Alligator mississippiensis: one gene and its partners. The protein of the gene in region 2 interacts with the protein of the main gene of each other region in a pairwise test. Links are inferred from orthologs where the notes say so. Each region holds a gene or a part of one and is shown on either strand. Other genes may lie near its edges. The genes, in order: RAB2A, FAM114A1 and RAB2B.

Region 1 (10,231 bases), on a different chromosome or scaffold from region 2:
TTTTTTCCTGGGTACCACCAATCCTAGTTGTGATGTCTTTGATGGGTGGGCGAGTACCATACTGTCTTCTTTTACTGGGACACTTCCCCCTCAACTCGCCTGCCACAACTTGTTACTCAGTGAAAGGAGAGGTTCAGTAGTGTTCCTCTTCTCGGGGGACCCGGTGATGGAGGTACTTACATTCGTGCCGCGATGTTCCTTGGGGCTCTGCCTCCCCTACACCTCGTCCACTTGCCAACCGCTTGGGTGTTGCCTGTGTAGTTCTTCTGTGCCCCTCTGAGCCCCTTTGCTAAGGGGTCAGGCATCGACTTTGGCTCTGGTAGGTTGGCCTGGATGTTAAGGCAGCTGGAGCCCCAGCCTCTGGTGCCAGAGGGCTGGGCTCCCAATGTCTGGCATCCCTCTCTCTCCCCAGAGAGAGACACTTTTTTACCAACTCTGAAATGTAGGTAGCTGGGGGAGGGTGGGGGTGGAAATGGATCCTCCCCAGCCTAATGCAGGGACGCTGTTCCCCCTGCTCCAGATGCAGCCTCCGCACCTGCAGCAACGCTCCTGCCAGTCGCAGGAGTCACACCCTACCTGACGTACTCCCCACTGGCTCTCTCTCCCTCCTCCCCCCGTGCTGGCTTCCGGCGGGGTTTTTAAATCTTCCCATGGTGGCATCCCCCGCTGCCACCATTGGCCCGGCGCTCCCCCATCCCAGGAGCAGCTGTTTGAAGAGCCGGTGTAATGCTGGTTTGCGCGGCCGTGGTTTCGGTTCTGGCTCCAGTCCCGGCCCCAGCCGCGCTCCTAAAAGTAAGTTTTCCAGGGTGTGGGGGGCCTGTTTGTCCTGTGCACGGGCTCTTGGGGTTTTCCCCAGGCCCCTTGGAGCCTGTGGGGGCTTCTTGCCGCCACCCTAGTTAATATGTTTTTTTTTTAAGTCAATAAACAATATTTTCTTATACTACTTTGAGTAAAATAGTTCAGTTTTTGAAATATAAGGTATATTTTTTTGTTTTCTTTTTAGCTACTTCAAGGTCATTTCAAGGACACTTTGTTTTTCCTCTGTTAGAAGCGGGGAAACATTAAAGTAAACCCATTGCTGGTTTTATCAAATTTTATTTTTAGAGTTCAAGGCAGTAAAGCACAAGTTTATACAGAAGGACAAACAGAACATACTGCCTACATTTAAAGATCTAATGGTAGTGACTTCACAAATTCAAAGACAGTGCCAAGAGCAAAGGGATCCTTATTTTAGCCAAGTTTACAGACATTCAAAAACTGAGGCCCTGAAGAGTAGAGAGCTTGCAGTGCTGATACTATGCAGCCAGGGGAGGGCCAAGTACATGCATCTCAGTATGCTCTGGAGGTTCTCTTAGTCTGCCTGGCAACAGATGGCAGTGGTGCATAGGGCAGCCCAGATTGGCTGACCCAGATTGCCTATGGCCAGTCTGTTTTCCTGCAGCACAAGATGGGGTGGGGTTCTACCCCTTGCTGAAGCAGCAGAGTCCAGCGAGCAGTATACTGGGCAAGTCTACATGTGCAATTAACACAGCTGAATAAACTCCAGTGCACTTTGCACCAGAGCTTATTGCTCCCAGGTGCTGTGTTTGCATGTGCGCCTAAGACTGTAGCACAATGAGCTGGGTCGGAGCAGGGGACTCGGTGGGTCAACCTGCCAGCTCAGGTTTGCTCCAGCCTGGCTTAACATGCTGCAAAGGGACTAGCTGGGCTAGCCAGCAAGCGGTCCCCACACCGAAGAACCTTTCTGCCCTAGCTAGCCACATTAGCATTTATACGTGCATTGTGGTGCACTAAATAATGCCACCATAGGATAGTACTTGTGTACTATAGTACTTCACTGCAAAAGAAGCACTCCCAGAGACACTGTGCATGCCATGCAGCTGCCAAAATGGCTGCAAGAGCTGCTGAACAAGCTGCCACACAAGCAGCTCCCAGACTGGTGATGCGCAGCATTGCGAGCTGCCCCACCCCCTCCCTAGTCAGCGCTTGCCCCAGCCCAGATCCCAGCCCCAGTCCCAATCCCTCCCTCGCTGTGGGGGCATTGATCTGCACCCCCTTTCCCTCCACCACAACAGACTTACCAGCTGGAGGTAGCTGTGTCCAGAGTCGAGGCCTATTTAGTTTATGGCTGAATCTCCAAAGTGGCACTTAATCTCTCTTCCAAATCAATTCAGAGGTTTCTGATTCAATTCAGACCTTTTAATTGGTCTCCCGATTCGATTCAGATTCGGCCACTGAATTGGGCCGAATCTCCTCTGAATCAAACTGGCTACCAAAGCCCTAATTTACAGTATACTTTTTTTTGTTTTTACCTGGGATACATTGTAGGTGTAGGGTGCTCTGTGTCTTTAGTATGTAAGAAGGGTCAGAGTAGATGATCTTGCTGACCTCTTAGGTGAATGGTTATATATGAATGTAAGGGACTGGACTATGGCTTGGAAGGTGTGCTCTAGTCCTGTATTCCTCTATATCATATAAGTCTCATTTGGGAATTTAATGATCATTAAGTTTGCTGTTAACGTGCAAAAAATTATCATATAGATCAAATCATTCCTGCCCACTAAAACCTACTAGTACTGGTACTTTCAAAATGATTTTGAAATGTTTAAGCTTATTTGAAAAATAGCTGGGGATTTACTTTCTAGTTACCTAGTAAATACACTGACTCATGCCACAAAAAGCCCATCTAATATGTGGCCTAAGTGTCACAATAAGGTTCTTTCAGTTTTTATACCAAATAAACTTATAGCTGCCCAAACATTTTCTTCTAACACCTTGATTTACAAAGTAGCTTGTCATTTGGAAGTCACAGCAGTTCCTTCTTAAGTGTCACTACTGATAAGGAAGGACCTACAAAAATCGCTATTGCACAATTTTCGTGGAAACCACAATTTTGGACAGGCTCCACGAAAAAGCACAGGATCCCTGAAAAAAAGCTTACTGAAAATAAAATGCTGGCTTGTCCTGGAGAGCCATCAATCCTTGTGGCCACTCAGGCCTGGTTGTGCAGCCTGCCAGGGGAGAAGGGGAGGCTGCCGCCCCTGCCCCTTGCCACTGATTGGCTATGAGGACTGTTCGTCATTCCCCCCCCCCCCCCCAATTGGCAGTAAGGGACAAGGCCACTGGTGCCCCTCAGCCAATCAGAGGCATGTGGGAGCCCACTGTGCTCTGCCTACTAAAATGGCTGCCAGCTGGAGATCTGCCTGTGAGGTCAGCAAGCCGCTACCTCTAATTCAGTAGACCCCTAATAATAATGGTTCCGCAAATTGGCTTTATACTCCATAATCCCATTTCTGTCACTTAGGAAATAAACATGTAAAACCATTAGCCATTGGTGAAGAGTCAATATCATGATTTTAAACTGGATATATCTACCTGGTACATAAAATTACCACTAGTAAAGACTGATACAGTTTACTCTGTTATTTAAAATGGTGTAGAAAATACCACATTTAAGTACAGAACAGCCACTGTTTCCATAGTAGCTATGGAGCCTATGAGAAATAGGTATGTTAAACTTCCATTAAAGTTATTAAAACTTAAGAAAAGAATATAGGTGGCTAGCCTAGTCAGCCACTGTATAATAATCTGCAGAATATCTCCATGTCTTATGTCTGGACAACTGAGAAGTAAAAATCGAGCAAACATGGTACTTATTTGCAGAGTAGGCACTTAAAATTTATAAAGTAAGGGCAAAGTAAATATAACTTAGAGGGGAATCAATTTTTTATTAATTTCAAGTTGGAAATATTTCAAATCTAATGGAGGAATGCTGATGGAACTGAACAGTTTAGAAGTACAACTGCAAAGTATATACAATGCACTAAAATATATAAAGAATTACAGGATCCTCTGATAGATGAGAGATATCCATTGGCTAAAATCACTGAATGTTACATTTTTATGAAAAGTTAAACAGGGGATCAGTGATAGGGGAACGGGCAGCAATTTGATAGGTTTAGGTTGCCTAACACTTTCTGTGATAAAGGACATTAGCTCAGCCCTCTATTGTTTGCAGCAGACAGCAGATTAGCCAGCTGCAGAAATGAGTATGCAAGTATTTTTCTGCATGCAATTTTGTTCAGTTTTTGCTGATATAAACGGCAATAAATCACGGGTTCCCTTCTCTCCATATGCATTCCTGAGAGAAATGTTGGCATGACGACAAAATAACTGAACGCATGAACACATGACCACCCAGCTCATGCCTGCCAATGCAGCAACTGATCATGACACCATACTGTTAATAATCAGGAGCTGCCATACTAGTAGCTTCCCCCTAACCTAGAGATCCACACTATCCCTTCTGGGCAGCACTATGTGGCATGAGCTCCTCGAATCACAAAGGAGAAAGGATCCTCACTACTGAACTATACCCAATAGTCCTTTCCCCCTTCCATGGAATAAGATGTCTCTAACATGATACCACTGCCACTGGTCAAGTTTTTGAGTGACAGTGGGTGCAGTATTTGTTTGTTCTGAGCTCAATACTCTCAATGCAAGTTAAACATGTTTTGAGTGTGGCTAATGGACCTCTGCCAAGGGACTTTGGCAGAGTTTAGGTATGGCTCCATATCTCTTTCAGAATGCAGTGTAACATGGGTGGGAATTAGGCACCTAACCACTCAACTAGGGTACTTTTTTGCATGCTTAAAAGATGAATGATACATTAGTTATCCTTATACCAGGGTACAAAAACAGTGGGCATTCAAGGTACTGTACAGACAATCCTACTATGGTGAAACTCTTGCAGATCCGGTATAGAATTACCCTGGGAAACATGAGGGGTAAAACTACACTTGGAGTTCTGCATAGCAGAATTCACCCATGTTCACAACTTACCCAAGGGGAACCATTTGTTCAAAGTAAATACACTGTTGCCTGCTCCCTCACCACCTGGTGGGGTAGTGCTGTTAACAGCACGTACTTGCGCATAGCTACCCTAGCAAAGTTTATCTTCTATCGGCTCCAGATCACCCCTCTAATTTACATTGGTGTGTCCACGCCCTAAGCTTAGGTGGTAAGAGATCATTTTGGGCCATAATTAAAGGGCCAAATTAATTTAGTCACCCACAAAATGCTGCGGCTGCTGAAACAGGATTATTCTGCATCACTTCTGACTAAGCTACCTAGCTTACTAATGTGGATGTAGGCCCACATGTGTGGATCTCCTAGCTAAGACGGTGGCCTGTGAGCACTTTAGAGTAACACTGCCTGGTACCAATCAACCTGGTCAAAATATAATTTCCTGCCTTGGGAAAAGCTAGCCCAAGGAGGCCAAAGTCATTATGACCACAGGTCATGCAACGTGCACCTTCGCAGAAACAACAGCAGGCTCTGTAGTATCAGCGGGGTTTGTGAAGACTTCCTTGGCCTCCGAGGTGCTGACAAAAAGTGCAAAAATGATAGAGACCCGACCCCCCCACCCTGATTTAGATCAGGTCCCTGGTTACAGCAAATACATTTATGCCAGAGCAGATGAGCTCAGAAGTTGCCTGCCGAACTCTGAAGCTGCCTCCTCCTCAGGGCTAGGGTGGCCGTCATAGAGGGCAGTCCAGTTAGGTCCTCTATGGATACAAAACCGGACACCTTTTCTCTTGAAGAGAAAAATAGAGGACATAAAGGCAGTGGGCTTCGTATCCATAGAAGATGGAGTAGCAGAAAACTGGAATGTCCTCTATACTGGCCACCCTACCCCAGGAACATCCCAGCAGCAGACCACCCCTGGGTAGACTGGGAGCGGGGCAGCTCTTCTACAAGCCACTTGGAGCCATCCCAGCTCCATGACCCTTTCTGAAATTGGTGCAAGGCCCCGGGGCTGGAGGGGCCGGCGCCGCCCCCCAGTGAGGGGTGGGAGCAGCACGGCCAAACCCACTCCAGGTCCCCTCACCCCCCGCAACACGCCCACACAGACCCGCGGCGGCCTCGCGACGGGATGACGAGGACACGCCGGTGCCCGCGGGGGGAGGGGCAGCGCGGCGTCACACGGAACGTCCCCGGGCCCCGCCCCACGCTCCGGCCGCCTGAGCACTTCCGGGTCGGCGGGGGGTGGGGGGCCCGGGAATAGGCTGCGTGACGTTGCCGACGGGCTCGGGCCGCTGTTATTGTTCGTGCTCTGGCGAGTCGTCGCTGCCGCTGCCGCTGCCCCGGACGCTGAGCGGCGCGAGCCAGGGTTGGGGCGCGGGCCCGGTGGGCGGGCGGGCAGCCGTTAACGGCTCGGACCCCGACAGCGGGCGGGGCGGGGCGTCACCGAGGAGCAGCAGCCCGGGCGGCGGCGGCGGAGCGGGCGGAGATTGGGCGGCCATGGCCTACGCGTACCTCTTCAAGTACATCATCATCGGGGACACAGGTGAGCAGCGCCGTCGCCCGCACACGGGGCGGCCGGGCCCCCATTTCCGCAGTGTTGGCTTAGCCGACGTGGTGCCTGGCAGAGGAGGCCGGCTCCGCCCTGCGCTCCCCGCGGCCCCGCCCGCGCCTGCGGCCTGCGGCGCCCCTGCCGCCGCGCCCCGGCTTGGGCCCCGCGCCCACGGGGGAGGGGGTCCAGAGCGCGCCAGGGCACGAGGCCAGGCCCTGCCCCAAGCAGCCTCCGGCCAGCCCGGCACCACCCCCTTCCGTGGCTTTCGGAGCCGTGCTGTTTCCCACCTCCCTGCTGCCCACATCAGCAGAGCAGGCATTCTCCATCCCTGGTGTCCCCCTCACGTGGGGTCTCCTCTCCATCACATTCCTTCAGTTGCCAGGGAGCCCCTCGGCAGCCCAGCCCTCAAGCTCATCCTGATGCCGGGAGATGGTTGGGTGCAGGCAGGGGCCCAATTTTGACAGCCTCTAAGGCTGTTTGTTTCTTTCCATTGTAGTCATGGCCAGGTTTCCAGTGGAAGGCAAAGCACAGGGATGTGGACGCAGCCTGCAGGCCTGATGCAGTCTGCGGAGCCTGTCATTTAGGCCACAGGGATCCTGGAGGGGCTGGGAGTTTAGGGATGAGGTGAGCCCCACTGTGATGGCAGATGAGTAAGCAACAGCTGCACCAGCCCTGGTGAGTTTCTGCCACTGCTCACCCTGCCTGGGACAAGACCCATCCTATGAGGAGCCTGGTGACCTGGATCCATCCAGAGAGGCCAAGGGCTTTTGACACCCCTGATAATAGTACATGTATCTTATGCATTCAGGCAAACTTGGTGCTGCAGTTGCCCACTGTCTACATCATGGTTAAGTAAGTCTACAGTTGCTTCTTGTGCAAGTTTAACCTCACTATTTATTGCTGGAGTGGCTGTTCTGTAGGAACATACAGATACGGTTGCTGAATGGCTTAATACTTATATTTCTTGTGCTTAAGCTCCCTATGGTTTTTATAAAAAGACAACAATAAATATTAAGCAGCGCAAAGGCCCACATTAGTTAAAACCTAAGAAAACAAGAAGTTCTTAGTATAAAATTACTCTCATTATACCTTTATCCCATGTGCCCATGCTGTGCAGGACATGGAGCTTAAAAAGACTGTATCAAGCAGCATGACTTCAAAAGTAAAATCAGAGGGTGTTTTTACTTCCCAGAAAGATGCTACCTTTGCCCTCTGACAAGTTTGGAACTAGAGTTATAATATTAAAGAATGGGAAAGCCTGCCTTACTGCGGCCATTCTGTGGGGCACTCGCTTTATTTCACTCCTGAAAATGTACATGCCACTGTGGGACATGGAAACTCAAGTTAATTACTCAGGTGCATCGATTCTATACGGTCTAAGGCTTGACACAAACCTTAAAGTATATGTTGCATAGAAGTTTATGCAGTTCTGCTTCTTGGTTGGTGGGGCCTGGTCAGAAATTTTACATCCTAATACTAAAGTTGTATTGGTATAATTTTTCTGAGTAACTTTTTAATTTTCTAAAAGACGTGTGACAAAATTGTATACGTGGGGATGGTCAGATAGGTACCCTAGGAGAACACAATACATTAATACGATATTTTTTTTTTTGTAAGTTTACTTGCATGATTCAGAATTTCTGATATAAAAAGAGAGAGGAAATTGAGGCCGAAATAAACCTTGATCTAAAATGACATGCTTCACTTGGAAAGAAAGACATGTTTCCAAAACCAGTTCAAATAAGTTTATAGTGATAGCTATAGACATAGTTTAAATCTCTTGAGAGCCCTTTATTAATTTTTGTATAGCTTACATTGTGGAACTGTCTTTCCTGCTGTAGAACTCCCAGTCTGACTCAGATTATTGCAGGGATTTCTAGTTAGACTCCTTAAAAGTGTACTAGTTGAGTGGTGATTCAGCATTTAATTTTAAATATGCCTCAGTAGGAAAAGAAATGAAACCCTTATGGATCTCTTCATTACTACTAAGCTTGGTTATGCAAACAAATGTATGCAGTTATACCAGATACCTGCATGTATTTGACATGATCATAATACCAACAGTTTTCATCCACCTAAGTGTAGGTATTTAGTCTGACCTCACTTCTTTAGCTGCAGCTACAGAAAACTGTGTAGGGTTGGTTACATTTTACTGGACATATCTAGTCCCTTTGCATGCTTTCTGGCTCCAGTGACTTTACTTCTAGTATAACAGATGATAGAGTTTTGGGAGAGCAAGACAGATTCTGCATCCTTAATTGTTAATTAAGATCTAGTTTGTAGAATTTTCTACTGTTGGAGAGGTATGAGCAAGAAATAATAGAACTTGACTTTCAATGTGGGTTTGTTTGAAAGGCTGGGAACTTAGGAAAAAGTAGTTTATTTGTAAATTGAGAAGGGTTTTTCTGGAATTGGTAACTATGGGTACATGGACTCTGAATCATCACGTGGAATTGTCATTCTTTACAAGAGAGAGGTTAATTATTGTTGCTTTTATAGAGCAATTACAGGAGAAAGTAGACCTCTATCCATATATTTCTAGGATGCAGTAAAAATTAAGTTCAGAAATTCACTGAATTACTAGTAGATCATAGACAGTGATACTAGGAGTTTAAAGTAAAGTATATATGACATCTGTCATATATTAATAACTAAATGCTCTAGGAATGATTGTTTCAGTCAGACCTTTGAGCTGGCAGTTGATTACTAAATTATGCTGTATCTCATGTGTGATGTTGGAACCTGTGACATGGCAAATCCTAATCTAGTATAAAGAAATAGAATGAAAATCTGTCATGTGTGCTGGAGGGAATGGGAAGGGGAAAGGGAGAGAGGTCACCATAGCTACAGTTCTAGTAAACATATGCTTTATATCTGAGATTTAAAATATCTACCTGGTTTAGTACTGCCAAAAAATCTTTTTTTTTCCTTCCCTCCCCCTCTTCTCTTAGTTGAATATTGCATGTCTTGCTCTTCTTTTTTATAAATAACGCATCATGATGCCAGAAGTAGAAGCTTTTTGTTGATAAAGGAATATTTTCCTGTTTTACCAGCCCAGTATTAGTTTAAAAAAAACAGAACTCTGATGTAATTAAGCTACATCTGCAATCTCTTCAAAATCTTTAATACGCACTTTTACTATAGCATATGTACAACAACATATTTCCATAAAATCAAAATGAGCAAAATTAAGGAACCTTTGATGCTATTGAACTTTGTTTCATTTAACAACCAGAGCTCTTGCCATCAAAACGGCTATCTTGAGACTGTTGTCCCAAGGTAGCTGAGCTAGTGCAGCACATGATGGTAGTCTTGGTACAGTCACTGTTGATCACCCAGGTGGGTGGCTGACCAGGATGAGTGGCTGTAGCTGCCCAAGGTCCTGGTTTGAGATCATGTTCCCTTTAGGAGTTTGTAATCAGGGCTCTCTAGCGACTTGACAGCCTTCTACAAAACAAATCTTGGGAAATGATTGGCTAAGCTGCTGTACTGTAGAGAAGGACTTGTGGGTTACAGTGAACCCATGAGCTGACCATGAGCCAACTGTGTGCTCTCATTGCCAAAAAATAAAATAAAAAGCCAACGGTATACTGGGTTGAATTGATCCTGAGGTGGTGCAGAGTCATTTGGAAGAACTGGATGCCTTTAAATCGGCAGGCCCGGATGGGCTCCATCCGAGGGTGCTGAAGGCACTGGCCGACATCATTGCAGAGCCACTGGCAGGAATATTCGAACGCTCGTGGCGCATGGGCCAAGTCCCAGAGGACTGGAAAAGGGCTAACGTGGTCCCCATTTTCAAAAAGGGGAGGAAGGAGGACCCGGGCAACTATAGGCCAGTCAGCCTCACCTCCATCCTTGGTAAAGTCTTTGAAAAAA
Region 2 (9,488 bases):
TTTCTACAACCTTGTGATTCTATCTTGTCTACTGAGGGAGGCAGAGCTTCTGCAGAAAGCCCAGCATGAGAGTGAATGATTAAAGACTGTATCATAACTGTCTTATGTTTACATGCCCAGGGAAGCCAATTAAGATAAGACAGACAAATAAAAATCTGACACTTCCTAACTTTTTAAGAGCTGTTTTTCAATATAAATAATTTATATTTTTTCAATGTAGAGAAGTCTACATGTAATTTCCAAGGCTTTTCTTAAAAAAAAAAAAGTGATGCTCATTATTTCTTAATTGCTGACACTACAATCAATATATAATTTTGACAGAACTGCCCTTTTCCTCAAGTAGGGAGCCAGACTCATGATTGTTTAGTATAGCAAGGTAATTATCTTCAGAATAGATGTTTTTGAAGGGTCACTTACTGGATTACTTTGTTCACTTGGTGTCACTTCAGATTCAAGTTCAGGATCAAGGCTCACAGATTCGCTACAGTCAGCGGCTACATTCTCAGTCACGTCTGTGCTAGAAGGTTGATTTTTCACTTCCTCAGTCAAAGGATGCTCAGTGATAGTTGGGTCTCCTTCCTGTCCATTAGCGGTATTATGGAAAGATTGTTTTTCTCCATCTTGTGAAGACCCATGCAGTATCCCGGTCACTTCATGATGTAGTGCTTCATCATCAGGCAACACATCACTACTAGGCATTTCTATTACTTCAGGTTTTCCTTTGGTGGGTACTGCATCACTTGTGTCACCAGACATTTTTATTTCTGTTTAAAAAAATAGCACAGATATATAAATTAACTACTCAGTTATTACAAATTCCAGAAACACTTAAATGATACAGAACCATTCTAAAAAGCAGCTTTACTCACCAATGCTTGCAGGTATGCAGCATGGTAAGAATTAAATGAGAGACAATGTAAGTGTATATTACAAATATACATGTTTTATCTACAGAAATCATGAAGGTTCATTTCTGAGGGCCAGTTATAGCCCCCCATCCATAGTTGGCATTGATGGAATGCCAATTACTGTCAACAAGAGATAAGGTGGGCAAGGTCAGTATAGATCGTTGAACCCCGACTATTTCCAAAGAAGTCTTGTAGATTTAGCATGCTCCATAGATCAAACACATCTTTTTTTCTTTCCTTCTCATCTTCCTCCTTGTTTAGCATCAGTATCCACTGGGTCTTATCCCATTATTTCACCAATTTAAGTGGGGAAAAAACATCTCTGTAACCCTTGCCACCTGGAACACTGTTTTTAGGACCTGCCTACCTCACCTGCACTCCATAATTTTTTCAATCTCATCTGAAAATATGGCTTTTCTCTTTTCCTATCTTTTTTATTTTAACTTTGAACCATGATACTATTACATATTTCTGTCAAGCATTTTCAAATATTACTTGAATATTCATATTTGCTATAAAACGTATTTTGATTTGTAAAACTGTCTATGCAAATCCATTCTTAAAAGTACCTTGACGACTCTCAGGTCTAGCAAAATCCCTTTTGCAGTGGGTCTGATTTTGATTTTACTCATGGTGATGAAAACCAGAACTAAAGGCCAGTTCCTGCACTTGTGAAGGATCTTTACATTACGGCATCAGTTGTAAATGGGCCCTAAGTTGACCCTTGAGGTAAATTTTCCTTAAAAAGCACTCTATACAGCTTTTTGCTCTCTTTAAGAATGCTTAGGGAGCAGAGTTGAGAGGGAGATTGCCCAGACAAGTCTGTATTCTAGACAGCCAGCCAGAGTTGCGCTGCCTAAGTACAATTAGTCACAAGTCTACTCTAATTTCTGTTGTAGACAGGTCCAATCTACAGAGCAGACTGGAGTCCAAGAAGCAAAAATTCACCATAGCACCACACACACATTGCCAGAGATGCCCACGCTAGCCCCACAGGAATGAAATCAGAATCAGGCCTAGTAAGCACAAGAGATTGTTGTACATTGAAAACTAAGTTTAAAGGTAAAAAAAATCCACAAAAATTATTCAGAATTTAAAACATGAGACAGACACAGGAAAGACAATAAACACACTGGTTAACTTAAAATTAAGTTCCTCCTTCATTTGCTACTATAATCTTTATTAACTATGCAGAGGCATATGTGATGTGACTAGAGTATGGCAGTCTCTGTTTTCCTTGACAAGGATTATTTATTTAATTTTTATATACCACCCTTCCCAACAAAGGCTCAAGGCACCTTAAAATAAGCAAACAATAACTTAGAAACAGGCGAGTAACATGAAGACCAAAACAACTTAAAAGGGATCTAGGATAAAACAGACACCCTCTGAACAACATCTTATCCTAGTTTTGTTTAGTAAAAGCCAGCCCAAGTAGGAAGGTCATGCAGTGCTTCCAAAAGATATTCAGGCTTGGCCTCTGGAAGACCTGAAGATGGAGGGAGGTCCAGAGCTGACGAGCAGTTGCACAAAACAACTGAGTTGTGATGAGAACACAATCAGGAAGAAGGCAGATAGAATATATGTGTTGATTTTACAGAGAAAAGGGGCCACCTTTATCTAGTGAGTCTAACTCATAACATTTCACCAAGTAATTTTTGTATGGAACCAAAAGTGAGCTGTGTGTTATACCATCAGTGATGGTGTGGAGCCTGTGCCTCGCTCCACCTGCCCTATCGGGGTGTTGCCCCTCCCCTCAACTCGCCTGCCACGACTTGGATGTAATCAATTACCTTCAGAGGGGTCTACAGTGGAGGTCTTTATCCTGGGTGGGGCCTCCCGATAGACAGTGTTACTCACGGTTGTCGGCCGTGGTGATCCATGGGGCTCCGCCTCCCCTACACCCCGTCCACACGCCAACTGCTGGGCGATGCGTTCCAGATGTTTCCAGGCCCAGTATGATGGCCTCTGACTGGTTCACCGGTTCCCGGTCGTCCTCCCTCCTGCTGGGAGGGATTTCTCCTTTCTCCTCTCTTACAGAAAATACTCCTCTGAATTAGGGGGAGCTGGTGGGTGCTCCCCCTGGTTCCAGCTCCCTCCTGGAGCCTCTGCTGTCTCCCCTCTCCTACCGTCAGCAGAGCGCTCCCCTGCCTCCTGAGCGTCAGCCGCTTCAGGATGCAGAGAGATTGCCTCGGCTTGCACTCTCTGACTGCCTTTCGCTCTGCTGTTTGCGAAAGGCTTCCAGCTCTTGTCTAAGCTGCCTGCTTGAGACCCGCAGGCTGGGTCCTCTCCGCTCCATGCGAGAGCCCGCAGCACGGGCAGCACACCCGTACTCTCTCTCCCTGGCTCCCCCTCTCTCCCTGTCCTGCCGGCATTTTTAAACCTTCCCACAGCGGCCGCTACGGCCGCTGAGATTGGCTCAGCTGTTCGCTGTGCCGGGAACAGCTGTTGCCAGAGCCGGCGTAATGGCAGCCGCGAATGCGGCTCTTCCTCCCGCTGCTCCTCAGCCGGTACGTATGCCCCTCTGGGGGCTTGCTCTCGGGGTCTGGGGTCTGTGGGTCCCCCCTTCTCTCCCTCACTAGCCTGTGGGGGCACTTCGCCGCCACAGTCCTCCCCTCTTAAGTTGCCTTGTGGTGGCTGATTTTCTCTCGTGACAGCATGTGTCACCTGCTGCTCCTCCCTGTGGATGTGGCCCGTACCTTCCTCTGCGTTGTCTGCGCCTCCCCACCTGGACAAGAAGTCAGCCACAAAGTTATCTCTGCCAGGACGGTGTATCACCGTGAACTTGAATAGCTGTAATGCCAAAGCCCAGCGGGTGATCCTGGTGTTCATGCTCTGTTTCTGTGTCAACCACTGTAGTGGTGCGTGGTCTGTTACTACCACGAATTCCCTCCCCATCAGGTAGTACTTAAAGTATTCTATTGCCCAGCGTATTGCCAGGCATTCCCTCTCGATGGTGGCATACCTGGTTTCTGCCTGGCTGAGTTTCCTGCTGGCAAAGGCAATTGCGTGCTCCTCCTGCCCGTGTTTCTGGAGTAACACTGCTCCCAGCGCCCGTCCTGATGCATCCGTCTGTAAAACGAAAGGGGCGTTAAAGTTAGGCGTGTGCACGACAATGTCATGGCGCATTGCTTCTTTCAAACTCTGGAAGCTCTTTCGCATCCCCAGTGTCCATTTCAGTGGCGTTACGGATCTCCCAGCCAACGCGTCTGTAAGTGGTGTGGCGAGCGTTGCGAAGCAGGGTATAAATCGCTGATAATAGTTAACGAGTCCCAAGAAGGAACGCAGTTGTTTGCGGGTTCGCGGTTCCTGGAACTGCCTTATAACCTCAATCTTATCTGTGAGTGGCCGCACTGTCCCTCGGCCTACTCGAAATCCTAGGTATGCTGTTTCTTTTAAATGTAGTTTACATTTCTTCGGGTTGGCGGTCAGCCCTGCTGTTCGGAGTTCTCCCAGGACTGCTCTGAGGTCTTGGAGGTGTTGTTGCGAGCTGGCGGAAAATATAAAGTTGTCATCAATGTACGCCGCCGCGTACGCTGCGTGCAGTGCCAACAGGTTGTCCATCAACCTCTGGAACGTCACAGCTGCTCTGCTGAGGCCAAAGGGCATCCACGTGAATTCGAATAGGCCCCACATAGATTCATAGATGTTAGGGTTGGAAGGGACCTCAATAGATCATCAAGTCCGACCCCCTGCATAAGCAGGAAAGAGTGCTGGGTCTAGATGACCCCAGCTAGATACTCGTCTAACCTCCTCTTGAAGACCCCCAGGGTAGGGGAGAGCACCACCTCCCTTGGGAGCCCGTTCCAGACCTTGGCCACTCGAACAGTGAAGAAGTTCTTCCTAATGTCCAGTCTAAATCTGCTCTCTGCTAGCTTGTGGCCATTGTTTCTTGTAACCCCCGGGGGCGCCTTGGTGAATAAATCCTCACCAATTCCCTTCTGTGCCCCCGTGATGAACTTATAGGCAGCCACAAGGTTGCCTCTCAACCTTCTCTTGCGGAGGCTGAAAAGATCCAGTTTCTCTAGTCTCTCCTCGTAGGGCTTGGTCTGCAGGCCCTTGACCATACGAGTTGCCCTTCTCTGGACCCTCTCCAGGTTATCCGCATCCTTCTTGAAGTGTGGTGCCCAGAATTGCACGCAGTACTCCAACTGCGGTCTGACCAACGCCCTATAGAGGGGAAGTATCACCTCCCTGGACCTATTCGTCATGCATCTGCTGATGCACGATAAAGTGCCATTGGCTTTTCTGATGGCTTCGTCACACTGCCGGCTCATGTTCATCTTGGAGTCCACTAGGACTCCAAGATCCCTTTCCACCTCTGTGCCACCCAGCAGGTCATTCCCTAGGCTGTAGGTGTGCTGGACATTTTTCCTCCCTAGGTGCAGCACTTTGCATTTCTCCTTGTTGAACTGCATCCTGTTGTTTTCTGCCCACTTGTGCAACCTATCCAGGTCTGCTTGCAGCTGTTCCCTGCCCTCCGGCGTGTCCACTTCTCCCCATAGCTTTGTGTCATCTGCAAACTTGGACAGAGTACATTTCACTCCCACGTCCAAGTCGCTGATGAAGACATTAAAGAGTATCGGTCCAAGGACTGAACCCTGTGGGACCCCACTGCCCACACCCTTCCAGGTCGAGACCGACCCATCTACCACGACTCTTTGGGTGCGACCCTCTAGCCAATTTGCCACCCACCGGACTGTGCAGTCATCCACATCACAGCCTCTTAACTTGTTCACCAGTATGGGGTGGGATACCGTATCGAAGGCCTTCCTGAAGTCTAAGTATACGACATCCACCCCTCCTCCTGTGTCCAGGCGTTTCGTAACCTGGTCATAGAAAGAGACTAGGTTGGTCAGGCACAATCTGCCCGCCACAAACCCATGCTGGTTTCCCCTCAGCGTAATTTGCCCTGCCGGGCTCTCACAAATGTGAGCCTTGATAATTTTTTCAAAGACTTTACCAAGGATGGAGGTGAGACTGACAGGCCTATAGTTGCCCGGGTCCTCCTTCCTCCCCTTTTTGAAAATGGGGACCACGTTAGCCCTTTTCCAGTCTTCTGGGACTTGGCCCATGCACCACGAGCGTTCGAACATTCTCGCCAGTGGCTCTGCAATGATGTCGGCCAGTGCCTTCAGCACCCTCGGATGGAGCCCATCCGGGCCTGCCGACTTAAAGGCATCCAGTTCTTCCAAGTGACTCTGCACCACCTCAGGATCTACGCATGGAAGTCTGGCGCCTTGCTGCTGCCTCTCTACAACCCCAGTGAGAGACTTGTCGTGCCCCTCACTTAGGAACACTGAGGCAAAGAACTCGTTGAGGAGTTTAGCCTTGTCCCCCCTATCTGTCACCAATTGTTTCTGCCCATTTAGCAGCGGTCCTATTCCTCCCTGGGCCTTCCTTTTACTCCCAATATATCTAAAAAACAATTTCTTGTTGTCCTTTACTTGGGTTGCCATCCTCAGCTCCATGGTAGCTTTGGCCCGCCTAACTGCCTCCCTACAAGCACGAGCAGAGGAGGTATATTCATCTTTAGTGATCTCACCCTGTTTCCACTTTTTATGTGCTCCCCTTTTGGCCCTTAGGCTGCCCTGGATTTCTCTGGTCAGAGAAGGCTGTTCTGGACCACGGGGTCCCGAAGACTGTTTTGGCACAATCCATGGGGCGCATCGGGATCTGCCAATATCCCTTTGCCAAATCAAGCGTGGTTATATACTGTGCTTCACCGATTTTCTCCATGAGGTGAGTGACATGGGGCATCGGAAAGGCATCAAACGTAGTCAGGGCATTGAGCTTCCTGTAGTCTATGCATATGCGCAATGACCCGTCCGGTTTGACGACGGGGACTATGGGGCTCCGCCATGGACTGCGGGACGGTCGTATAATCCCTTGTTCTTGCATTCTCATGATCTCTTGCTGTATTTCCCGTTGCCACCGCTGAGGTATCGGCCTCCATCTCTCCCTCACCAGTGCTCCCTGAGGTGTCCTGATTTCATGTTCTACTCCCGTTACTCGTCCCAGGATCTCTTGGAACACTGCCCTAAATTCCTCTATCAGAGCTACTAATTCTCGCTGTTGGTGATTGCCCAACTCCTTGCCCATTTGTACTGACCCCTCCTCCCCGGGTCTCCCTAACCAGGGACACGGCGGTCCCAGGTCCTCCTTTGTATCCCCGTCTAGGGCCAACCAGCCCTGAGGAGTTTTCCACTTCTTGAGCAGATTCACGTGGTAAATCTGTCGTTCCCGGCGGTGGCCTGGTTTAAGTAATTCGTAATCCACGGGTCCTACTTGTCTCACCACGGTAAATAGCCCCTGCCACATGGCCAGCTGTTTGCTGGAGGAAGTTGGCAGCGATACCAAAACTTTGTCCCCCGACTGGAAAGTCCGTGTTTTCGCCTTCTAACGCTTTTCCTGTATGCCTTGGGCGTCCCTCAGGTTTCGCCTGGAGATCCGTTGGGCCATGGAGATTCGGTCTTGTAGCTCTTCCCGGTACCTCTCCGCCGACACCCCCAAGCCTATTGGCTTTTCCCATTCTTCCCTTACGATTTGTAGCAGTCCCCGAGGGCTATGGCCATACACCAACTGAAACGGAGAGTACTGGGTTGACTCTTGCGGAGCGTCCCTTATGGCGAACAGCAAGGGTGTCAAGATAGTATCCCACCTCCGCGGGTCTTCCTGGGCGCACCGCCTGAGCATCCGCTTGCTGGTCCCATTTAACCTTTCTACCAAACCATTAGTTTGGGGGTGGTAGACCAAGGTCTTTAGCTGGGTGATGCCAAGGGTCTTACATAAAGCTTTCATTACCCCAGACATAAAGTTTGTTCCCTGGTCTGTGAGTATTTCCCGAGGTATGCCCACCCGCGCTATCCACTTAAGAAGTTCTTCCGCTACTCGAGTGGCGGTTATGGACCTAAGGGGCACGGCGTCTGGGAAACAGGTGGCATAATCTACCATCACCAGGATATATTGGTATCCGTTATGTGACCTGGGGAGGGGTCCTACTATATCCAGGGCGACCCGCAAGAACGGTGTCTCTGCTATTGGCATGGGCTTCAGGGGTGCCCTTGGGGGCTTCCATTCCTGGGCCCTCTGACACTCGGGGCATGCGGCCCCCCACCTTTCCACGTCCTCTTGGAGACGAGGCCAAAAGAATTCTTGGGCCAGCCTCGCCCGGGTCTTGTTACGTCCCAGATGGCCACCCAGGGGTGAGTCATGGGCCAATCTCCACACCACTTGGCGAAGTGAGGACGGGACCACTAACTGTCTCCCCCGTATGGTACCCTCCTCACCCCGGTGGACCCGATATAATAGTCCCCCTGTTACCTCGAAGCGGGGACGCCTCTGTGAGGGTCCTTCCCCGGGATCAGCGTCCCACATCCACTGCAGTTCCGGGTCCTCATGTTGTGCCCTAAGAAATTGGGCCGCGCTCACGAATTGTTCTAGGTCGATGCCGTCTGCCATTGTCTCGTTGCGACGGGCTGGGCCCTCGCCGGCCCATCCGTCTCCCCTCTTGATCCGGTTCCTCTCCTCTTGCATAGCCCTCACTCGCTCGAGGACTGTATAGAATGGCCCCCATTCTCGGCCTAGTATCATCTCACACGCCAGGGTCGGGGCAATTCCAACCCGCAACTCTCCGCTAAACTCCATCACCCTAAGCGGAACATAGCAAGTCTGGAACCGCATCTCCCCCCCTAGTATGCAGGTCATCGTCAGGGGCCCCTCACTCTTCCATTCCCTCTGCGGAGCGAGGTCTGCCCGAAGTAGGGAGTGGGAGCACCCCGTGTCCAATGTGGCCTTAACCGCCCTGTCTCCAACCCATGCGGTTACTACGGGCCGGTTCCATCCCTCCCTCTGGGTTGCCGACCCAAAACTGCAATCCATGGGTTCCCCTCTCTCTGCCTCTTTGCCTCTATCCCGGGGGGGTGGATATCCTGTTGGGGTGCGACTCAGCTCGCTCAGGCCTTCCCCACATTCGCGGGAGATGTGTCCGGTTTGCCCACAGCGGTAACACACCACCCCTTTCGGTGGCCCTCGTCTCGAGACTGTTCGCCTTTCCCCTTCGCTTGTGGGTCCCTCTTTCGTGCCTCGGGAGTCTCGTCTGTATCCCTGTTCCCTTTCCGAAATCGCAAAAGCCTCAGCCAAGCGAAGTGCCTCTTCACTAGTTTGTGGCTGATGTCTGCGTACCCATCTCTGGGCATCCTCCTCCAAATCCCATATGAATTGTTCTAACAGGATCTGGTCCATCACACCCGCCTGGTCGAACTTGCCGGCTGGCAACCATTTGTTGAGTGAGTCCCTTAAAGCTTGCAACAACCCCTGGGGTTGCCTAGCCTCCTTGGCCTTTCGGGCTCTAAAGGCCTGCCGATGACTTTCCGGTGAAATCTCAAGCCTGTAGAGGATTGCTGCTTTCACTGCCTCGTAATCGCGAGCTTCGTCCCTTGACAGCGCTCGGTAGGCAACTTGGGCCTGATCTATCACCAGCGCCCCCAGGTGGTGGCCCCACTGACCCCGGTCCAACCCTGTCTGGATAGCTGTCCTCTTGAATGCCTCGATGTAAGCTTCGGGGTCATCCTCCCTCGT
Region 3 (10,248 bases), on a different chromosome or scaffold from region 2:
AGTTAGAGGGGAAACTGCGAACCAGGACGCCTGGGTTGTATCCCAGCTCTGGGTGAGGAGTGTGGTCTGCGGGGGGGTAGGGCCTGGCACCAGCACACCTGGGTTTCGTCCCAGCTGGAGGCAGAGCAAGGGTTTTGTAGGTTAAAGAAGGAAGTGCGGGACAGACAAGACTCCTGAGGTCTTTTCTCAGTTCAGAGTCTGGGGGAAGGCAATAGTGGATTACAGCAGAGGATCTGGAAACCAGGACACCTGGGTTCTGCCTTGGCTTTGGCGTGGGAGTGGGGCAATTAGAGCAGGGAGCTGGCAGCCAGGACTCCTGGGTTCTTTTCTTGGCTCTGGAGGGAGGAACCCCCAATATCCAGGGCCCAGCTGACCCTTCCCCGCTGACCCCAGGTGAGCCAGGAAATCCTGGAGCTGCTGAACACCACCACGGCCAAGGAGCAGTCGATTGTAGAGAAGTTCCGGTCGCGCGGCCGGGCCCAGGTGCAGGAGTTCTGCGACTACGGCACCAAGGAGGAGTGCGTGAAAGCCACGGGCGCCGAGCGGCCCTGTCGCAAGCTGCACTTCCGGTGAGAGACGTGTGCACACGCGTGTACCTGTGCGCACTCATGCACACACACCCCCTCCATCATGTCCGTTCCTTGCCACGGCTCTGCGGAGAGCAGGGGCAGGGGTTGAGAGCTGGGAGCTCAGCTTCCAAAGTGGGAGTGTCTGGGCACCCAGATTCCTGGGTCCAGTCCTTACCCACAGTACCCAGTGGGGTTGCACAAGGGGTAGGACAGGGGCCAGGACGTCTGGGTCCCGTGCCCACCCACCACCCTGGTCCGCAGGCGCATCATCAACAAGCACACGGACGAGTCGCTGGGCGACTGCTCCTTCCTCAACACCTGCTTCCACATGGACACCTGCAAGTACGTGCACTACGAGATCGACGCCTGCGCTGACCCTGGTGCCCCTGGCACCCGCGACCACAACCCCGGCCAGGAGCTGGCCCTGCCGCAAGCTGTGGGTGGCGACGCCAGCGCTGACCGTCTCTTCCCACCCCAGGTGCCCACTGCCTGAGGGGATGCTTGTTGGCAGGGGCCTGTAAAACTGGGCAGGGGAAGCTTGGGGTGGGAGGCAGAGCACAGGAGTCTGCCCTCACATCTCTCTCCCGGCCCAGTGGATCTGCTGCGACATCCGATACCTGGACGTGAGCATCCTGGGGAAGTTTGCAGTAGTGATGGCTGACCCGCCCTGGGACATCCACATGGAGTTGCCCTATGGGACGCTAACTGACGATGAAATGCGGCGCCTCAACATCCCCGTGCTACAGGACGAGGGCTTCCTCTTCCTCTGGGTCACTGGGAGGTACTGAGGGTCTGGGAGGGGCTGACCTGGCTCAGAGGGGTCATGGGTGTCTCTGATGCAGGTCAAGGGTCTCACTGGGGCTGTCTCCCTCACAGGGCCATGGAGTTAGGGCGCGAGTGCCTCAACCTCTGGGGGTGAGTGTGTACAAGTGAATGTGCCCCCACATGTCCCCCCTCACACCCTTCCCAGCTGACCTCTACCCCCCGCCCCAGGTATGAGCGGGTAGACGAGATCATCTGGGTGAAAACCAACCAGCTGCAGCGGATTATCCGCACAGGGCGTACGGGGCACTGGCTCAACCATGGCAAGGAGCACTGCCTGGTAGGGACTGGGGGCCTGGTGCTGAGCACGGCTACTTGGTGGGTGCAGGGAGGGGGTTTGCTGTTGGACCTGGGTCTCAACTGGGCCCCGGCAGCCCGTGTGCCAAGCTCAGCAGCTCTGTCCCCGGCAGGTCGGGGTCAAGGGGAACCCCCAGGGCTTCAACCGGGGCCTGGACTGCGATGTCATTGTAGCAGAGGTGAGTCAGCTGTGCCTGTCCCTTCATTCCCCACTTTCCGTCCAGAACCCCTGCTCAGTGCTGCCCCCTCTCCTCAGGTCCGCTCCACCAGCCACAAGCCCGACGAGATCTACGGCATGATCGAGCGCCTGTCACCTGGCACCCGCAAGATTGAGCTCTTTGGGCGGCCCCACAACGTCCAGCCCAACTGGTGAGTGTCTATGAAATGGGAGAGGCTGCTGGGACCGACTCCTGGGTCCAGCCTGGCAGCAGGGCTGGGACAGGCCCACAATGTCCTTTCCCCCCCTGATGCCTACTCTTGTCCTGGCCAGGATCACCTTGGGGAACCAGCTGGATGGCATCCACTTGCTGGACCCAGACGTGGTAGCCCAGTTCAAGCAACGCTACCCCGACGGTGTCATCTCGAAGCCTAAGAACATGTAGGGGACTGAAGGGGGAACCTTGCTCGTGGGGACTGTTTTGTAATAAAAGAGAGGATGGAAAGAGGCACAGGCCATGTTGATGGCTGCAAGGAGCTGGGGGCTGCGCCAGCAGCTGGAGGCTTCCCATGTCCTGTCCCCAGTGAGACCCTCACACTGGCTCTGTCCCCTCCCACTTTAATCCAAACCAGAAAGAACCGCACCACAGTCAGCCCCAGTACTCCCCCCAGGCCCTGTTCCCCCCTCCTCTGCTGCATTCCAGTCCGGCTTCCCATCACGCTGGAGGCCACATGCAGGCCCTGACCCTGACCCCACAGGACAGGGCTATTTCACAAACACGACGCTGCCGCCGCTGCTGCCACCGCTGCTGCTGGAGTTGCGGGAAGCCAGCCAGGCCAGGAAAACGTCCCTGCAAAGGAGGTAGAAAGCGTATGTCAAACATGAGGCAGGACTGCAGGGGGGGAGATGAGGGCGGTTTTTGGGGCAGCTCCATCTCGTGCTGGCCATATGATGTGATGCCAAGACAGCCCCATTACTGCTGCTATGGGCATTAGTGGGGTAATTCTGCCTTCCAAGGAAGTGCTAGGCTGTGCCAAGAAGGCCCAGCCAAGGCAGGCCAGTCTTGCCCCCCAGCTCAGGGTCAGCTGGATACCGTGTTGGGGTCAGGAAGGAACTGTATCCTGGGATCAGGCCAGCACACTCTGGGGTTTCAGCTTTGTCTACACGGGAAGAAGGGGGCACAACATCTGCCTAAGCTCTTCTGAGCATGACTTAATGAAGTCATTACAGTGGCAAGGCCTGGTCCTCACTGCCCGAGGGCAGGTCAGGGTGTTTGATGCCCCATGGCTGGGGTTGTGCCCGAGGGCTGTATGCAGGTTGGAATGAGCTGGACACTGTGGCTGGGGAGGGTCCGAGCAAAGCTGAACCTAGCTGTAGCGAGGCACGCCCGGACTTCCCCGCAACCCCGTCTCCACCCCCGCTCACCGGCAGTGCTTGACGACGCACTCACTGCTGCAGTACTCGTTGTCCCAGTCGCTGCTGGCCACAGGTGGGTTCTCGCAGCCCGAGCGCACACAGCGTGGCCGCGGTGACTCGGCCATTGGGGACCCGGTCACCAGCTCCACAGCCATCTGCGTTGGGGACTCAACCTGCAGGTGGGAGGGGGATCAGGGAAAGGTTATGCCCAACTGTACCCTGTGTCTGCTCCAACTTCTGGACACAGACAAGGCCGTAAGCTCGCTGGTTCTCAGCCTCTGACAACAGACCAGGAGTCAGGACCCAGCTCCCCACACCCAGCCATGTACTCACCTCAGGCACCACATCAGCAGTAACCATCTCCATGGGCTCAGGGGAACCCTGGAGCTCAGGACTGGGCCGCTCAGGGCTGGCCTCCTCAGCCTGCAGGGTGACGGGCTGGATCTGCAGGGCAGGTGGGGGCAGGATCTTGATCTGCAGCGGTGGGGGCTGCTGCTGTAGGTTGAGCCGCACCTTCTGCTGCAGCGGGGGCTGCTGCATGGCCTGCAGGGGTGGTGGGGGCTGCAGCACGGCCACCTGCTGCGTGGGGGGCTGGGGTGGGGGCATCTGCTGAAGGGGTGGGGGCTGCAGTCTGGGCAGCTGCATGGAGGAGGCAGCCGCAGCTGCAGCAGCTGCCGCCTGCAGCACGGAGCGAGTGACGATCTGGGTGGTGCCGGTGCCAAGCTGCAGCCCACGGGAGGTCACCACAGTGGCGGGGATGACCGTGACCACGCCACCCTGGGACACAGCCAGTGAGGACGGCAGCATCTGCTTGGGAATTATGATCTTCGTGATGCTGGTCTGGGGAGCAGGCGTGGGGACAGCTGGGGCAGGCTGTGGAGTTGGCGAGGAGATGCCCCCAGAGACGGTGGCAGTTGGCGTGGCCGTAAGCGGGGTCTCCTGTGCAGGTGAGGGGGCCAGGGCAGCAGTCAAGGAAGCAGCGGGAGTAGACGTCTGCACGGACTGGGAGGCAGGAGAGGGTGGCGTTGGGCTGGGGTCCAGCTCTGTTTCCAGCGTCTGCACGGAGAGAGAATGGGGGATGAGAAAGACGTACAAACAGATACGCAAGACCCTGGCGCACCCGCGGACAAGAGAGCTGAGCCCCGGCCAGCTGGCAGAGGCCCAGCCCCCTTACCTGACACACCTGGATGGCTCGGTAGGCTGCCAATGCCTTCAGGTACTCCTTCTTGGCCGCCTCTGTCTTCCGCTTGTAAACCTTGGGGGAGGGAGGACTAGGTCAGCAGCAAGCCCCAGCCCTGCTCTCATTCCCCCCCACCAGCTTCTGTTCCCCCTGCCCCGTGCCCTCCCAGCCATGCCCACCTGCTTCTGCTCCTCGCCCAGGCTGTCCCACATGGACGCCACGATCTTGGAGACCTCCCCAAAAGTGGCGTTGGGGTTCTGCCCCTTAATGGCGGCCTGCGTGTCACGGAAGAAGAGCGCGTAGGCCGACACCGGCTTCTGCGGCTCGTTCGGGTCCTTCTTCTTCTTCTGCTTCTTAGCCGGCTTCGGCTTCCGCCCCGCGTCCAGCACCAGCGTCGCCTTCTGGGCCGGGGCCTGCTGTGGGGGCGAGAAGAGGGGGCACGGTCAAACTGCAGGCTGGAGACAGAGGTTTGCCCATCCGTGGCGGAGCTGTTCTCGGGTATCAGCAAGAGGTAGCCTGCGACTGGGACGACTAGAGGCCGCGAGGCACAGCTGGAAAGCGCAACAGGGCCGGGCAGGAGCATGTGGCCACTTCTTGCCAACAAACACGGAACCGCCGGCGGCCTCGGCCCCAGCTCCTGCTGACGGGGCAGCGACCGAACGCGGCAGGCGTGACCTCAGCGGGCTACGGACGCAAAGCAAGGGGAGGGGGGAAGAAGTGGGAATCAACTACCCGAGCAACGCAGGAGTCAGGCTCTCACCCGTCTGAACTCCTCAGCTTCCTCCTCCTGCAGCGAGCTGGTGGGGGAAGGCGTGGTGGACATCCGCTCCTCAGGTGACGCCGCCGTGGCGGGGGCCACAGCCGGGGCGGCGGCAGCGGCGGCGGCGGCGGCAGCGGCGGTGGCAGAAGGAGCGGCGGCCGGGGGCAGAATGGCGCTGCCCCCCAGGCTGAGGCCGAGCTGGGAGCTCAGCTCCGACTGGTCGATGGTGGTGAGCTGCCCGTGTCCCATGAGGCTGCCCGGGCTCATGGCGTTCATGGGCACGTCGATGGTGACGGGCGGGTTGGCGTTGTACTGCGCGCCCATGGAGTGCTCCAGGTCCTGGGGGCACACGGCGCAGGCTGGGGGGGGGCCGGCCGGCACCACCGCCAGCAGCACCGCTCCCTGCCCTGCGCGCCCGGCCCGGGCGGCCCCCCAGCACGCACTTACCATGGACAGCCCCCCGGGCAGCAGCCCGCCGCCCTGCTCCATGAGGCCGTGGCTCATGGCCACGGGCATGTCCAGGGCTTGCACGCCGTACTGGGCGGAGAAGCTGGCGTCAGGGGCGCCGCCGGGGTCGCCCAGGTCGTCGAAGTGCCCCACCACGTCCGCCACGGCCAGCGACGGGTCCGCGTCCAGCGCGATGGGCGGGATCTCGAACTCCTCGTCGCCCAGGCTCGGCGTGTGGAAGGTCTGCGGGGACGGGGACGGGACCGTGAGCCCGCGCCGGGCACCCCGCACCCGCCACCCTCCCCGCCCCGGCTCCCCCCTCACCTCGGCGCCCGTCAGGAAGGGGTGCGTGGCGCCCGTGATGGCCAGGTAGTTGTCGCTCCCGCCCGGGAACTGGGGAGGAAGCAGGGATACGTGACGGGCTTCACCGGGCGGGGCACGGACCCTCTCCCCCTCCCCACCCCCACACCTGTGCTCCCCTCCTCCACCCCCACCCCCACCCCCGTGCTCCCGGCCCCGGCACCTCCATGGCCGCGTCCCGACCGATCGCCAAGCACCGCCTCCCCCACCCCCTCCGAGTCCTAAGGAAGGAACCGGAAATCCCCCTTCGTGCGTCACTTCCGCCTCCCCTCCAAACTCGGGCTCGAACTCTAGGCCCTAAGGGGAAGCTGAATGTAGCCACCCCCCCAGAATCGCCCGTAGGAGGAGTAGAGAGGGAGGCCTCCAGGCGGCCAGCGCGGCCCCAGGAGGCGGGTAGAATGGCACCGGAAGTGTGGGCCGCGGAGCAGTAAAGGCGCCAGGAGGCTGCGGCTGGGCTAGAGCGTCTCCCCGGAAGTGAAGCTGAGTCGGGGGGTAGAGCGGCCCTGGGAGGACCGCATCGGACCGGGGCATCATGTCTTACACCTATCTCTTCAAGTACATTATCATCGGGGACACCGGTACGGGGCGGGGGCCCGGGGCCGGGAGCGGGCAGCGGCGGCTCCGACCCCGGGCCCAGCCCTGACTCCGCTCGCTGCCTGCAGGCGTCGGCAAGTCCTGCTTGCTGCTGCAGTTCACGGACAAGCGCTTCCAGCCCGTGCACGACCTCACCATCGGTGATGGGGGATAGGGGGGTTGTGGGGCTGTAGGCGGGTGGGGGAGGGGATGAAGTCAGGGTGCTGTGGGGGGACAGGAGGGGTGTCCAGGCCGGGGGTGCTGACGGAGCCTGGCCCTGCAGGTGTGGAGTTCGGGGCGCGGATGATCAACATTGACAACAAGCAAATCAAGCTGCAGATCTGGGACACAGTGAGCCGGGCTGCGGGGGTGGCCAGTGTTCGAGTCCGTGGGGTGTGGGGGGGAGCGGGGCCGCCCGGCGGGATTAAGCAGCGCTGGGTCAAGCCAGAGCCACGAACGAGATCCCTGACCCCTCTGCCCCTGCGCCCCGCAGGCCGGGCAGGAGTCCTTTCGCTCCATCACGCGCTCCTACTACCGGGGGGCGGCTGGGGCTCTGCTGGTCTACGACATCACCAGGTGAGGCCCGGCTCCTGGGGTGGGAAGGCTTCCCCCTGCACCTCCTTCCCTTCCTGGGGGAGCCCTGGTGCTGCCGCCGCCCCCTTCTCATGGCAGCCCCCACCCAGGCGCGAGACCTTCAACCACCTGACTTCATGGCTGGAGGATGCCCGGCAGCACTCCAGCTCCAACATGGTGATCATGCTCATCGGCAACAAGAGGTGACAGGCGGGGAGGGGTGGGGGGACCCCTGAGGCAGTGGGGGGCTAGGAGGGGCGGAGCCTACAGGGAGGCTGCTGGTTATAGGATGCAGGGGTTTGGGTATAAAAGGGAGAGGCCCGAAGGTGGTGGCCGTAAGAAGACCCTCTGGATGTCGCCCTGGATGCAGGCCTCACAGATGTGCGGTGGGACTTAAGCTGGCCTTTGGGTGGGTATGGGGTCCCAGATGGGTCCTGGCCATGATGCTTCCCCCTCCTCCCTGCATGCGTCTGCAGCGATTTGGAGTCACGGCGGGACGTGCGGAAGGAGGAGGGCGAGGCCTTTGCACGGGAGCACGGGCTGGTCTTCATGGAGACCTCTGCCAAGACAGCTACCAACGTTGAGGAGGTGACTGGGGTTGTGGGGAGGGGGGGTGAGGAGGTGCTCTTCCGCACCTCTCGCAAAGGAGCGGGTCTTGGCTGAGCCCAGGTGGGGATGTGGACCATCCAAATCCTAGAGCACCCCAAACCCTTGACAAATGGGGTCCCGGAAGGAGTGGGGCCACTAACCCTTAACTTCCCCCATCCACCTCCGCTTCACCCTGGGCTGCCTTCTTTCAGGCCTTTATTGACACGGCCAAAGAGATCTACAGGAAGATCCAGCAGGGGCTGTTTGACGTGAACAATGAGGTGAGTTAGGAATCCAGTCCGGAACACCTGGATCCCATTCTTCCTTCCATGGTGGGGCCTTGTGGGGGTGAGCAAGGTATGCTGCTGTCCTTAACACTTGGGTCCCTTTCCATAAGGGTTGGCTGATTTATCTGGGCCTGGCACCTACCTTGGGCAGCCTAGTTTTATTGATTGCTATGCCCCTATTAATGCTCTCTCCCACCCTCTTCCTTGTTCTCTTCCAGGCAAATGGCATCAAGATTGGTCCCCAGCAGCCTTCGGGAGTGGCTCCTGGTGCTGGCTCTCGCCATGGCCCCCAGGGCTCCGGGGACAGCTCAGGCTGCTGTTGAGCCTCTGGGGCCAGGACCAGCTCGCTCTAGCCCCTGGCAAGGGAGACAGCTCCTCGTGGCTGAGCCAAGGGGTGGGGGACTGTAGGGGGTGGCTGGGCTGGGTAATTTCCCCCCCTCCCCCATGTCTCAGCAACCCCCCCCATCTGGGCCCTGAAAAAAGGGGCAAGGACCAGGCACCCCTTAGCCTGTGCCTGGGGGAGACTTTGGGCTCTGCCTCAACCACACATTCCTCCTGGCTGGCTGTGGGTTGCCGACGGGACAGAGCCCAGGGCTAGGGCCTCCCCTTGTCAGTGCCTTCCACCCCCCCCCGGCTGTCTCTCTTACTGCCTGGGACCCAGTTGGGTCTGGCTGGGTCCCCTGTGTCCTGCAGGGTCCTGGCCAGGTGCCCGGCCCCTCCCTGCACCCATGTCAGCTTTTATACTGTACTTGCTCTCTGTGGTTTCTCCTGTTATTAAATGTCTGCATGTGTTCGGCTCTCCCCATGTGTTGCTCTCCATGGGGGTGGAGGGACTGGGGAAGCTGCTGCAGTGAGTGTCTGGGAGTAACCTGGGAATGTCTTGGCTCCCAGATCCCTCCCCAATCAGGTCTGCTAGGCCCCAGCCCCTTGCTGGAGCCCAGGATACAACCCAGGAGCCCTATTTCCTGTCCTGCTCCTAGAGAAGGAATGACTTTCTTATCAGCATCCCTTTCATGCTGGGTGGGTGCTTTTGTGGTCTCCAAGGGGAGTCCAGCTCCATGCTCCTAGTTGCTAAGTGATTTATGCCTCTTGGGCAGCTCCTAGCCCCTTTTGGAAGCAGCTGAAGCAGCACCAGGCCCATGGCTCTGCAGGCCCCCAAATGGGATTGTGTGACAGCACTGGTAGGGCTGCCCACGGCGCCCAGGCCCTGTGGACACTGAGGAATCCCAACCTCGGTGAACGTGGCTCATGGGTCACAGATAACCCCTCTGAGCTCCTTGTGATGCCCAAAGCTGCTGCCTGGCTCCTCTGAGGGGGCCAGCAAAGAGCTGTCCAGCTGGGAGGCTAAGAGTTGGGGTCACTGTTGCCTTTAACCCCCTTGAGGCAACTCATCCATGGGGGCCAGGGCTGGGAAGGGTTTCTGGGTTAGGCCAGTGCTTGGCTCATGGAGGGTGGCTTTGCTCACACAGTCCCCTCTGCTCCCTGTGGCTGTCCTTCCTTTGCTGCCCCTGTCAGATGGGGACCAGGACTGGGCCAGCCCCTTTCTCCTCCAATCCTTGAGAACCTGCCAGTCCCCAGGCAGATCCTTATTTGTGGCCAGTGGACTGGAACCTGCTGTCTTGGGTGTTCAGGTAAGTGCTGTTACCCCCTGGGTAGCTGTTCTTTGCTCGTACCTCCTCTTTGTTCCTCCTGCATTCAAGGTCACCAATCTCTGCACCTAGAACAGGCCCCTCCGTGGGCTCTGATCTGGGTTTGTGTCTAGGCTGAGTTCATCTTGGGTTTTGCCCAATGTGACTGTCTTATGAATAGACCTTGGCTGGTGAGTTGCTTGGGGGCAGAAAGGAGAGTAGCTATGCACTTCTGTTCAGTATCTGGCATGATGGAGCTGTAGCTGACAGCAGCCTTGGGTGTTACCTCAATGCAGGCATTGGCCATAGCAGCAAGGGTTTCAGCCCCAGCCATGGGCAGTTTAACCACCTAGAATTGAGTCTTGTCAAATGAACCTTGGTTCTCTGAACTAACATTTCCTTCTGAAAAACTTTGATGTGATTTGGGGGGATGGTGGGGGGGGGGAAGGTTTTCCCTTTTTTGAGGCTAAACAGCTGCTGTTTGTTTTTTAGTTTGGAAATAAACGTTAACATTCTCAGGTTTATTTATTCACTTGTAGACATACTTTTTCCTACGGCAAAGTTTTAGGAAGTTCAAAACCGTGATGTAGG

What was found.
Region 1: the proteins of FAM114A1 (region 2) and RAB2A interact in binary tests that used the Homo sapiens proteins (3 or more experiments, as listed by UniProt). The two-hybrid records come from large-scale screens. The link is inferred for Alligator mississippiensis from reciprocal best matches to the Homo sapiens genes FAM114A1 and RAB2A.
Region 3: the proteins of FAM114A1 (region 2) and RAB2B interact in binary tests that used the Homo sapiens proteins (3 or more experiments, as listed by UniProt). The two-hybrid records come from large-scale screens. The link is inferred for Alligator mississippiensis from reciprocal best matches to the Homo sapiens genes FAM114A1 and RAB2B.

The regions. Positions count from the first base shown.
Region 1 is NC_081826.1:68,275,921-68,286,151, reverse strand, and holds the start of RAB2A (ras-related protein Rab-2A), read left to right. Parts: upstream 1-6,034; 5' UTR 6,035-6,303; coding exon 6,304-6,349; intron 6,350-10,231.
Region 2 is NC_081825.1:50,196,282-50,205,769, reverse strand, and holds the start of FAM114A1 (protein NOXP20), read right to left. Parts: upstream 4,046-9,488; 5' UTR 4,031-4,045; coding exon 3,874-4,030; intron 765-3,873; coding exon 418-764; intron 1-417. UniProt on the Homo sapiens protein: May play a role in neuronal cell development.
Region 3 is NC_081830.1:3,888,924-3,899,171, reverse strand, and holds RAB2B (ras-related protein Rab-2B), read left to right. Parts: upstream 1-6,417; 5' UTR 6,418-6,540; coding exon 6,541-6,586; intron 6,587-6,670; coding exon 6,671-6,742; intron 6,743-6,864; coding exon 6,865-6,932; intron 6,933-7,074; coding exon 7,075-7,157; intron 7,158-7,264; coding exon 7,265-7,357; intron 7,358-7,630; coding exon 7,631-7,742; intron 7,743-7,954; coding exon 7,955-8,023; intron 8,024-8,247; coding exon 8,248-8,352; 3' UTR 8,353-8,820; downstream 8,821-10,248. Other genes in the region: METTL3 (N6-adenosine-methyltransferase catalytic subunit), read left to right, coding at 394-569, 831-1,047, 1,163-1,350, 1,446-1,484, 1,563-1,671, 1,802-1,867, 1,945-2,057, 2,179-2,290; TOX4 (TOX high mobility group box family member 4), read right to left, coding at 2,611-2,695, 3,271-3,434, 3,595-4,317, 4,436-4,516, 4,621-4,857, 5,202-5,540, 5,649-5,891, 5,973-6,041 and 1 more. UniProt on the Homo sapiens protein: The small GTPases Rab are key regulators of intracellular membrane trafficking, from the formation of transport vesicles to their fusion with membranes. Rabs cycle between active GTP-bound and inactive GDP-bound states.